Linked DNA regions of Cricetulus griseus. The protein of the gene in region 1 purifies or fractionates together with the protein of each later gene. This does not show direct contact. Links are inferred from orthologs where the notes say so. Each region holds a gene or a part of one and is shown on either strand. Other genes may lie near its edges. The genes, in order: Nlrp3 and Trim31.

Region 1 (3,813 bases):
GAAATAGTTCTTCTCAGTTCCTCTTCACCTTCCCCATCTAAAGCTTTCCCTACTTACCTCAGTCATTCAGCCTGCCCATTTATAACAGAATCAGCTATGTTCCTCCAAAGCTTTGTGTATCAGAGTTCAACCCCAGCAGCCCACAGTGTGTGACCATATTTGGAAATAGGCAACTTCAAATAGGTAATTAAACTGAATCCACAGTGTTGGCCCTAGTCTATTTAGACAGTATCAGACACAAGGAAAGGTTGTAAGAGTTTAGAACATGGACACACAGCTGGAATGTAATGCAAAGACTCGAGGAAGAAACACACACCATACACAAATGTGGAGACTCACCACAGTCTCTGAATGTTACAGCCTGGATGCCGGAGGGCCTCACACAGCACCCTCATACCAGGATCCCCCAGAGTATTGTCGCTAAGGTCCAGTTCAGTGAGGTTCTGGTTGGTGCTTAGACTGGAGAAGAGGTCTCGGCAGAAGCTAGACGTGAGATAGCAGTTTGCCAATCTAGAATGGCACAGAAGAAGGACAGAAAAGAACATGGTTTTCTAATGTTAACAAAGTGGAGCTCAGAGCAGGCTCCCGGCACCTATTCATAGAAAAGTCTCCTAGATGTCAAGCCACCAGTCATAAATGTTCATTCAGAGGGAAGCAGGCTGGTGAGCCTTGGGTAGAGAGAGGTTCCTTTTGAAATGCAACGAAGTAAACTTTAGGCTTACTACAAACACCCTCAGACACCTCCTTCCCACATTAGACAGCTGGTGTGCCCCTGGCCTGGACATGCAGCAGACTGGTCCAGGATGTCCAATTGTAAAGTCCCGAGCCATGCTGCAACCACAGAAGCAAAGTCAGAATCTTAAAAGCTAAACCCATCTACATTGGTAGTTTTCATTTTCACAGTCATTTCTAGGATTCACATTAGAATATCCCTTATGAGAGTTTCTTTGTATACATGCAGGACTAGCTTTGTGACTCTGAACCTCTGATGAGGATACCCACATAGCTAGTCCTCTTGGAAGGTTCTGTGATAAACCAAGAAAGCCTCTGCTCAGCAAGGAAAATGGCTGTTACCTAAAGTAAGAGATCCCAACTTCTCATCAAGGGTTTTAGCCTGAGTCTCTGCCTTTCTCAAGAGTGTGTGGTCCTAATCTGGCCTCTTAGCCTCTCTCTACTCCTTTAGGGCCCTAAGGAGCCAATCTGTCTTCTTCTATCTCGTCTCTCTTTCCATCTCCCACTGGCATCATCTAAATTTTCACCTACTCTTCAAAAATTCAGATTGGTACCCTAGTCTCAGAATGTTGGGATCAGGAGGTGAGGTTTTTGGAAGATGGTTGGTCATACGGCAAAACCTCATAGATAATAACAGTACCTTGTGAAAGAGACAAACAAGGAGTTGCTTCCCCTCCTCCCACCAAGTAAAAAGAAAAAATATGTGGGGTGCCCAATATTCAGTCTTCCCATCCTCCACAACTGTAACAAACAAACCTTTTATCTTCAAAAATAACCTAGTTTCAAGCATCCATTACAGCAGCATTGAAATAAAGAGGATTGAAGTAAGACAGTGAGCTAGAGCTATAGGCTACATCTCCATGCACTGCCGCAGTCCACCTGATACTTTGTGCTGCACTGATATTCTCCCAAAATGCTTATTTCTTAGTTTACTGGATTTTGTCCTCAACCCCAATTATCCACCTAGCAGGAGTCACTCTCTACCAATGAAAAGGTGGCAGTCACATTATCATGAAGCTGGGCAATTATATTTGGAACATCAGAGAGGAGAGGAATTAAGGACCAAGAAATGTAGCCAGAAAGCATAAGGTGCTGGCTACCATCTTCTTGGAGCCAAATGCCCTTACCTGGAAGAACAGGCAGAATAGGGCTCTTGGAAAGCACACGGGACCTGGTCCACCTGTCGAGTTCCCCCCTTGTCTTCGTCTTCTTCCTTGGGTGAGTTGTGGAGAAACCCCAGGGAAAGTGTTTTCACCCGATGACAGTTCTTGATACAAAACGAAGAAACCACATGGTCCATTCTGGTAGAGAGGTTGATCTCAATTTTGGGGAAGTGGTCCATGGCTCTCTGCACAAAGTCTTCCTCCTGCATCTCATACAAGCAGTAGAAGAGTTCCAGCTGACTGGGCTGTCTCTGCAGCTTCTTGGCCTTGGCTTTCACTTCAATCCATTTTAGCAGTTCCTGTCTGACTTGCTGAGAGATCTTGCAACTTAATTTCTTCTCCAAATAGGAGGTTCTCTCCTGGTTTACAAGGCCAAAGAGGAAACGGACAACAAAAATCAGATAGCCTTTTTCAAACTTGCCATAATTTTCTAGGAGGACCTTCACATCTCGGTTCAGAAGATCTGAACAACCTGCTGGTCCCTTCCTCATAGCTGTCCCCTCTTCTTCCTCTTCCAGCAAGTAGTACATAGCAGCAAAGAACTCCTGGAAGGTCATGTGGCTGAAGCTGTAGAATCTCTCACAGTCCACTTCCTTTTGGAACACGTTCATCCTCAGGAATGCAGAGACGTCTGCCATCTGCAGGCCATGTTTCCTCAGATCACACTCCTCAAATAGGATTTTCTGGTTCCAAATGCCATCTGCAGCCAGTGAGCAGAGCCCCTGTAGGTGGGAAGAGAAGAGGTGCTCCTCCATGTCCCCTCGGGATTGCAGCAGGCTGGAAAGGAAAAAGACATAGACAGCGGTAGTGGTCTTGGAGGTCTGGGCCAGGCTCTTTCCAGTCTCCATCTGCTGCTTCAGTCCTGTGCACACAATCCAGCAGACCAGGGGGATGAAGCACATGGTAAAAAGAATCTCATTCTCTTGGATCAACCTGAAGGCTTCCCTGGCCTGCAGCTCATCTGAGAAATACTTAAAGAAATACTCCTTCCTTTTGGCCTCAGAGAAACCTAGGATCTCTACATGGCGAGGGTGGTCCAGCAGATGCTGCAGCTTCTCCAAGGCTACCGGCCTCGTTGTAATGAGCAGAGAGGCCTTGGGCAGCAGCTTCTTTCGGATGAGGCTGCTCAGCAGAATGTCTCCCCTCACAGCCTTCTGCCAGTCTGTGCAGACCTCTCCAATGTGCTCATCAAAGGCTCCTTGCAGCTCATCAAAACCATCCATGAGGAAGAGGATCCTGGAGGGCTTGTGCAGGATCTTGCACACTGGTGGGTTTGAGTCAGGCCAGCAGCTGACAATCAGGTCTCCCAGACTCCTTGATGTTCTGAGGCTCACCTCTCGACAGTGGATAAAGAATACATAATCAAATTTGTCTTTGAAGAGCTTCCCAGATGCCCAGTCCAACATAATCTTCCTGGCTAGTATTGTTTTCCCAATGCCTGCTGCTCCCTGGAACACCACTGTGTGTACAGGCTCTGTGTTTTCATCCTCTGGATCAAACAGTGACCCCAGCTTAATGGAACTCATGCGGCTATCCCACATTTTGGTCCTGCCAATGCTCAGTAATTCATTCTCTCTCTCCTGCTTGCTCGGATGCTCCTTGACCAGTTGTAGCTGAGTGTAGCGTTTGTTGAGGTCCACACTCTCACCCAGACGTGCATTCCTATCTTTGATACAGTAGAACCTGCTTCTCACGTGTTTTCTGTACATCTTACAGTAATCTGCAACAGAGACAGGAAGGTAGAATTCAGGAAAAGCCCACACATACCTATTCTCCAACAATAAGCTATTAGTGGACCTATGCTCTTATAGGAGGAACATTGAAAATTGTGAGGATCCAATAATAACAACAACAAAATGCACAGAGTGCTGTCAACTAGGGAGAAGGTGCTCACTAAACATTCATATACATATAGCAA
Region 2 (4,535 bases), on another chromosome or scaffold:
AAATACAGGGGCTGGAGAGATGGCTCAAGGGTTAAGAACACTTGTTGCAGATGACCTAGTTTTGGCTCCCAGTACCACATAGTGACTCCCGGCCATTTGTAATTCTAGTTCAAGGCTATCCTAATCCCCTTTCTGGCCTCCATGGGAACCGGGCATGCACATGGTGCACATTATATACATGCAGTCAAGAACACTCTTACACATAAAAATAAACAACTATTAAAAATATAAATAGCTGCATGTCGGTGGCGCACGCCTTTAATCCTAGCACTCGGGAGGCAGAGGCAGATGGATTTGAGTTCAAGGCCAGCCTGGTTTACAGAGCAAGCTCCAGGACAGCCAGGGCTACACAGAGAAATCAAAAAACAAGAAACAAACAAACAAAAAACAATATATATGAAGAGAGAATAGAACTGGGAAAGTGACATGTTGGAAGGATTAGTGGCAAGTAAGATGAGTGATTGGGGTACGGATCAAGATAGAATTGTACACATATGAAATTATCAATGAATAAATAAAAGTATTTTTAATTAAAAATATTCAATAGCAATCAGTGGGCTGGGAGACCATGAACAAGGGGGAGGGAATGAGTGGGTGGTGGAACTAAGAGGGCATAACGGAGTACACTGATGTAGAAGGAAGGACCAACTTAGGGGAGTAAAGGGATGATTAAGAATGAGTGGCTGTCATGTGGTGCGGGCGGCGGCGGCGGGGTGGGAGGGGCATGAATAAGAACCAAGTATAAAGACAGACGTTTTGAAATTGCCCTAACAGGAGCTGGGGGTTTTGCTCAGTGCTAGAGAGCTTGCATAGCAAGAGAAAGATCCTGAGTTGAGGTCACCACCAGAGAGGAAGAAAGTTTGGTTTTTAATGACAGAAGAGAGACTGGGCTGGTGGGACGGGGAGTGGAAAGGAAGGGAGACACACTGTGTTCCTGGGAGCAAAGAGCAAGATGAACTGTTAAGAAGTGAAGAGTTGAGCTACTAAGGTTACATGGATGACACTGGCTGATGCTTTCCTAGTTAGGATAAAAGAAACAGGTTGAGTAAGCTAGGGGTCTGTGAACAGAGACTGAGGAAGAAGCAGGCATGACAAACAGAACAAAAGATGGCTCAGAGACAGTGAGGAAACCCAATAGAAGACAGGAGGGGGAAGTAAGAGATCAATGGGGTTAGATAAGCCCCACCTTTCTGGGGCTGCCAGTCAGCAGCTCCACTCCCTACCTGCAGTTGAGTAGACTTTGACACTTGGTTCTTTTGTTCTCAGACAACTGCTTTGGAAACATCTATTTAATTAGTTCAAGGTCCAGGAACCTTGGTCTGCTTTACAGGAAGCATGAGTTCACAGTATCTGTTTGCTTTTGAGAGACAGTGAGGTAGGATGGTCCAACTACCTGTCTTTTCTCTTTACAATATTCCCCATTTAAGTTTTACTTTTGTGTTGTTGCTGTTCATTTGCTTTACCCCCCCTTCATTTTGTCTCTCTGTGGTCTTCCAGTGGTGACACTTTTTAACGGCTGCTTCCTGTTGCATTTTCTCTTCCCAGCACCTGTGCCTGCCTTAGACTTCTGAGCTTTCACACTTCAATTTGGCCCTGCTGCTCCTTCATGGCAAACAAACTACAGGAGGAGGTGACCTGCCCCATCTGCCTGGAGATCCTACAGAATCCTGTCACCATTGACTGTGGGCACAACTTCTGCCAGCAATGTATCATCCAGGTTGGGAAAACTACAGAAAACCTCCAGTGTCCCCTCTGCAAGGTCACTGTGAGTAAGGATACGTTCAGGCCCAACAAGCAGTTGGCTAGTCTTGCAGAGACAATCCGGTCTATGGATCCCACTGAATTCCAACCAGAAGGGGAAGAGAAAAGATGTCTTAAACACAAGGAAAAATTCCATTACTTCTGTGAGCAGGACGGGGAGTTCCTCTGTCTGGTGTGCCGTGACTCCAGGAGCCATAAGTCCCACAATGTCACCTTGATAGATGAGGCTGACCAGAACTACAAGGTAGGTACCTGGCTCCTTCTCTATCCCCAGCCCAGCAGAGGAGAACTCCCTGAGGACATAGGAGCAGCTGCCTGTGCCAGCTGGTTGGTACTCACCGCTGCACTTGAATTGGCTATATGTAGCCAGGCCCAGTGGGCTCAAAGAGCCAAGTTCTGGGAAATGCCAGTCTGTAACCAAGGTGAGAAGAAGAAGAAGAATCAGAATAGTGCTTTGGGAGCAGGAGAGATAACTCGGAGTGTAAGGCACTTGCCACCAAGTCTGAGGACCCAAGTTTGGCCCTCAGGACCACATAGTACAAGGGAAAAAATTGTTTGATCCATGGGAAAGAAAAAGGGGGCTGATAATAATGACATTCCTAGAGGCAGAGCCTGACTGAAGTATCCTCTCCCCACAGGTGCTGATAGAGTCACAAATTCAGGATTTGGGCCAAAAGGACAAAGAAATAATTGAAGAGAAAAAGCGAAGTGAAGGGGCAATCCAGGTGTTCAGGGTAAGAAATATTCACTCCAAACACTTCTGAGGAAGTTGAGGCAGCTCTGTTGAAACTCCTAGCATTCCTTATACACCAAGCCGGAACAAAGACCTGCTGACACGGTATCAGTGTCGAGGGGCAGGGAGTGTGGTGCCTGAGCTGTACTCATCTACCTGCCCGGGTGCTGCACCAGGGAACCAGGAGGTCTCCTATTCCTCCACCCACAGTGGGCTTTGTAAGGACTGCCCGCACATTGCGTCACCCAAGCCCTTTTCACTACAGCCTGGTTACACTGTAAGAAAAGATGGAGAGACTGTGGCACCACAAAATGTCTCTGCCTGTCTTTGATTGCTTTTCTTAAAAGGTTGTTTTTTATTATTTTTATTTATGTGCATATGCATGTGTCTGTGTGAGTGAAAGCCATGTGTGTGCAAATATTGGCAGAAACCAAAGGCACTGGAATTACAGGCATTTGTGACCTGCTCTTCCTAGGTGCTGGAGACTGAATTCAGGTCCTCTGGACGCATTCTAAACCCCTGAGCCATCTCTCCAGGTCCTGGTGGTTTGATTGGTTGGTTTTTGTACATCCATGGAACATTTAGTATGAAGGCAGTTAAGCTTCTTCCTTCCTTCCTTCCTTCCTTCCTTCCTTCCTTTCTTTCCTTCTCTCTTTCTTTTGTCTGTGTTCTTCCTCCATCGACTTTTAAGAATATTTATTTATTTATTTATCTTTAGATTTAATTTTATGTGAGTGAATGCTTTGTTTGTATACCAGATGCATGCCTGGCATGGAGATCAGAAAAGGGTATTGGATCCCTGGAATTGGAATTAGGATGGTTGGGATCTACCATGTGTGTTCTGGGAATTGACTCTGAGCCCTTTGCAGGAGCAACAAACTCCTTTACCAAGCCGTGTCTCCAGCTCCTAGACACAGTATCTTATGTAGCATAAGCTAGAGATTGTTATACAGAAAAGAAGAGCCTTGAGCTTCTGATCCTTTCATCCTTCCCCCAGTACTGAAATTGCAGGGCTATATCACCATGTCCAGATTACTGCAGGTCTATATTGCCATGCCCAGATCATGCAGGGCTGAGGATGCATTCTAAGCAAGCACCCTATCAATTGAACTACAATCTTATCCTGGGTTTTCGATTGCGATGTTGGTAGGTTGTTTGTTGAGAGAGTGGCTCAAGTAGTTCAGGCTGGCCTCTGATTCCTGAATCTCCTGTCTGTACTTTCCAAGTGTTAAGATTGCATAGTTGTTCATCCAGCTGATGTACTTGAAGGCAATATATATATATATATATATATATTATATATATATATATATAGAGAGAGAGAGAGAGAGAGAGAGAGAGCCTAAATTTGCACAGGAAGTGCTTTGATCTCCTTGCCCCACCCCCCTTTCCCACAGGTATGCCCCCAGCAAGCTGTTCAGCATAATCTTTAAATATTCCCAAAGAGTGAACAGTGCCAGGTGGTACGTGCCTTTGATTCCCAGCACTTAGGAGGCAGAGGCAGGTGGATCTCTGTGAATCGAAGGCCAACCTGTTGCACTTACTGAGTTCCTGGCTAGCCAGGGTTATATAGTGAGACTTTGCCCGTAACTGACTGATCATTCATTCATTCATGGTTGATTTAAAAAGTGAATGAAGGGCTTAAAGGAAGCTTGGAGGACCCTCTCTCATGCCCGTCCCCCATCTTTGCATCCCTTCCTTTGTCTCCAGGCCCAGATACATCTAGAAAAACTAAAGATCCTTGAAGAATTCAAACACCTGCACCTGAGATTGGAAGAGGAAGAGAGATTCCTCCTGTCCAGGTTGGACTGGCTGGAGCACGAGGGAGCCAAGCAAATAGGACAGTATGTCACTGCGACTAATGAGCAGTTGACTTCCCTCAGGAAGCTCTCAAGATCCCTAAAAAATAGGTTACAAGCACCGCCCATGGAGCTACTGGATGTAAGTCTCTCTCTCTCTCTCTCTCTCTCTCTCTCTCTCTCTCTCTCTCTGAAAGAGACTTAAGAATCTGTATTATGCTGTGGCCTAACAGCTCCTAATA

What was found.
Region 2: the proteins of Nlrp3 (region 1) and Trim31 purify together in Homo sapiens (affinity purification with western blotting; 3 studies listed by BioGRID). This does not show direct contact. The link is inferred for Cricetulus griseus from reciprocal best matches to the Homo sapiens genes NLRP3 and TRIM31.

The regions. Positions count from the first base shown.
Region 1 is NC_048600.1:73,610,890-73,614,702, reverse strand, and holds part of Nlrp3 (NACHT, LRR and PYD domains-containing protein 3), read right to left. Parts: intron 3,616-3,813; coding exon 1,860-3,615; intron 511-1,859; coding exon 340-510; intron 1-339. UniProt on the Homo sapiens protein: Sensor component of the NLRP3 inflammasome, which mediates inflammasome activation in response to defects in membrane integrity, leading to secretion of inflammatory cytokines IL1B and IL18 and pyroptosis.
Region 2 is NW_023276806.1:228,842,373-228,846,907, reverse strand, and holds the start of Trim31 (E3 ubiquitin-protein ligase TRIM31), read left to right. Parts: upstream 1-1,606; coding exon 1,607-2,005; intron 2,006-2,399; coding exon 2,400-2,495; intron 2,496-4,204; coding exon 4,205-4,435; intron 4,436-4,535.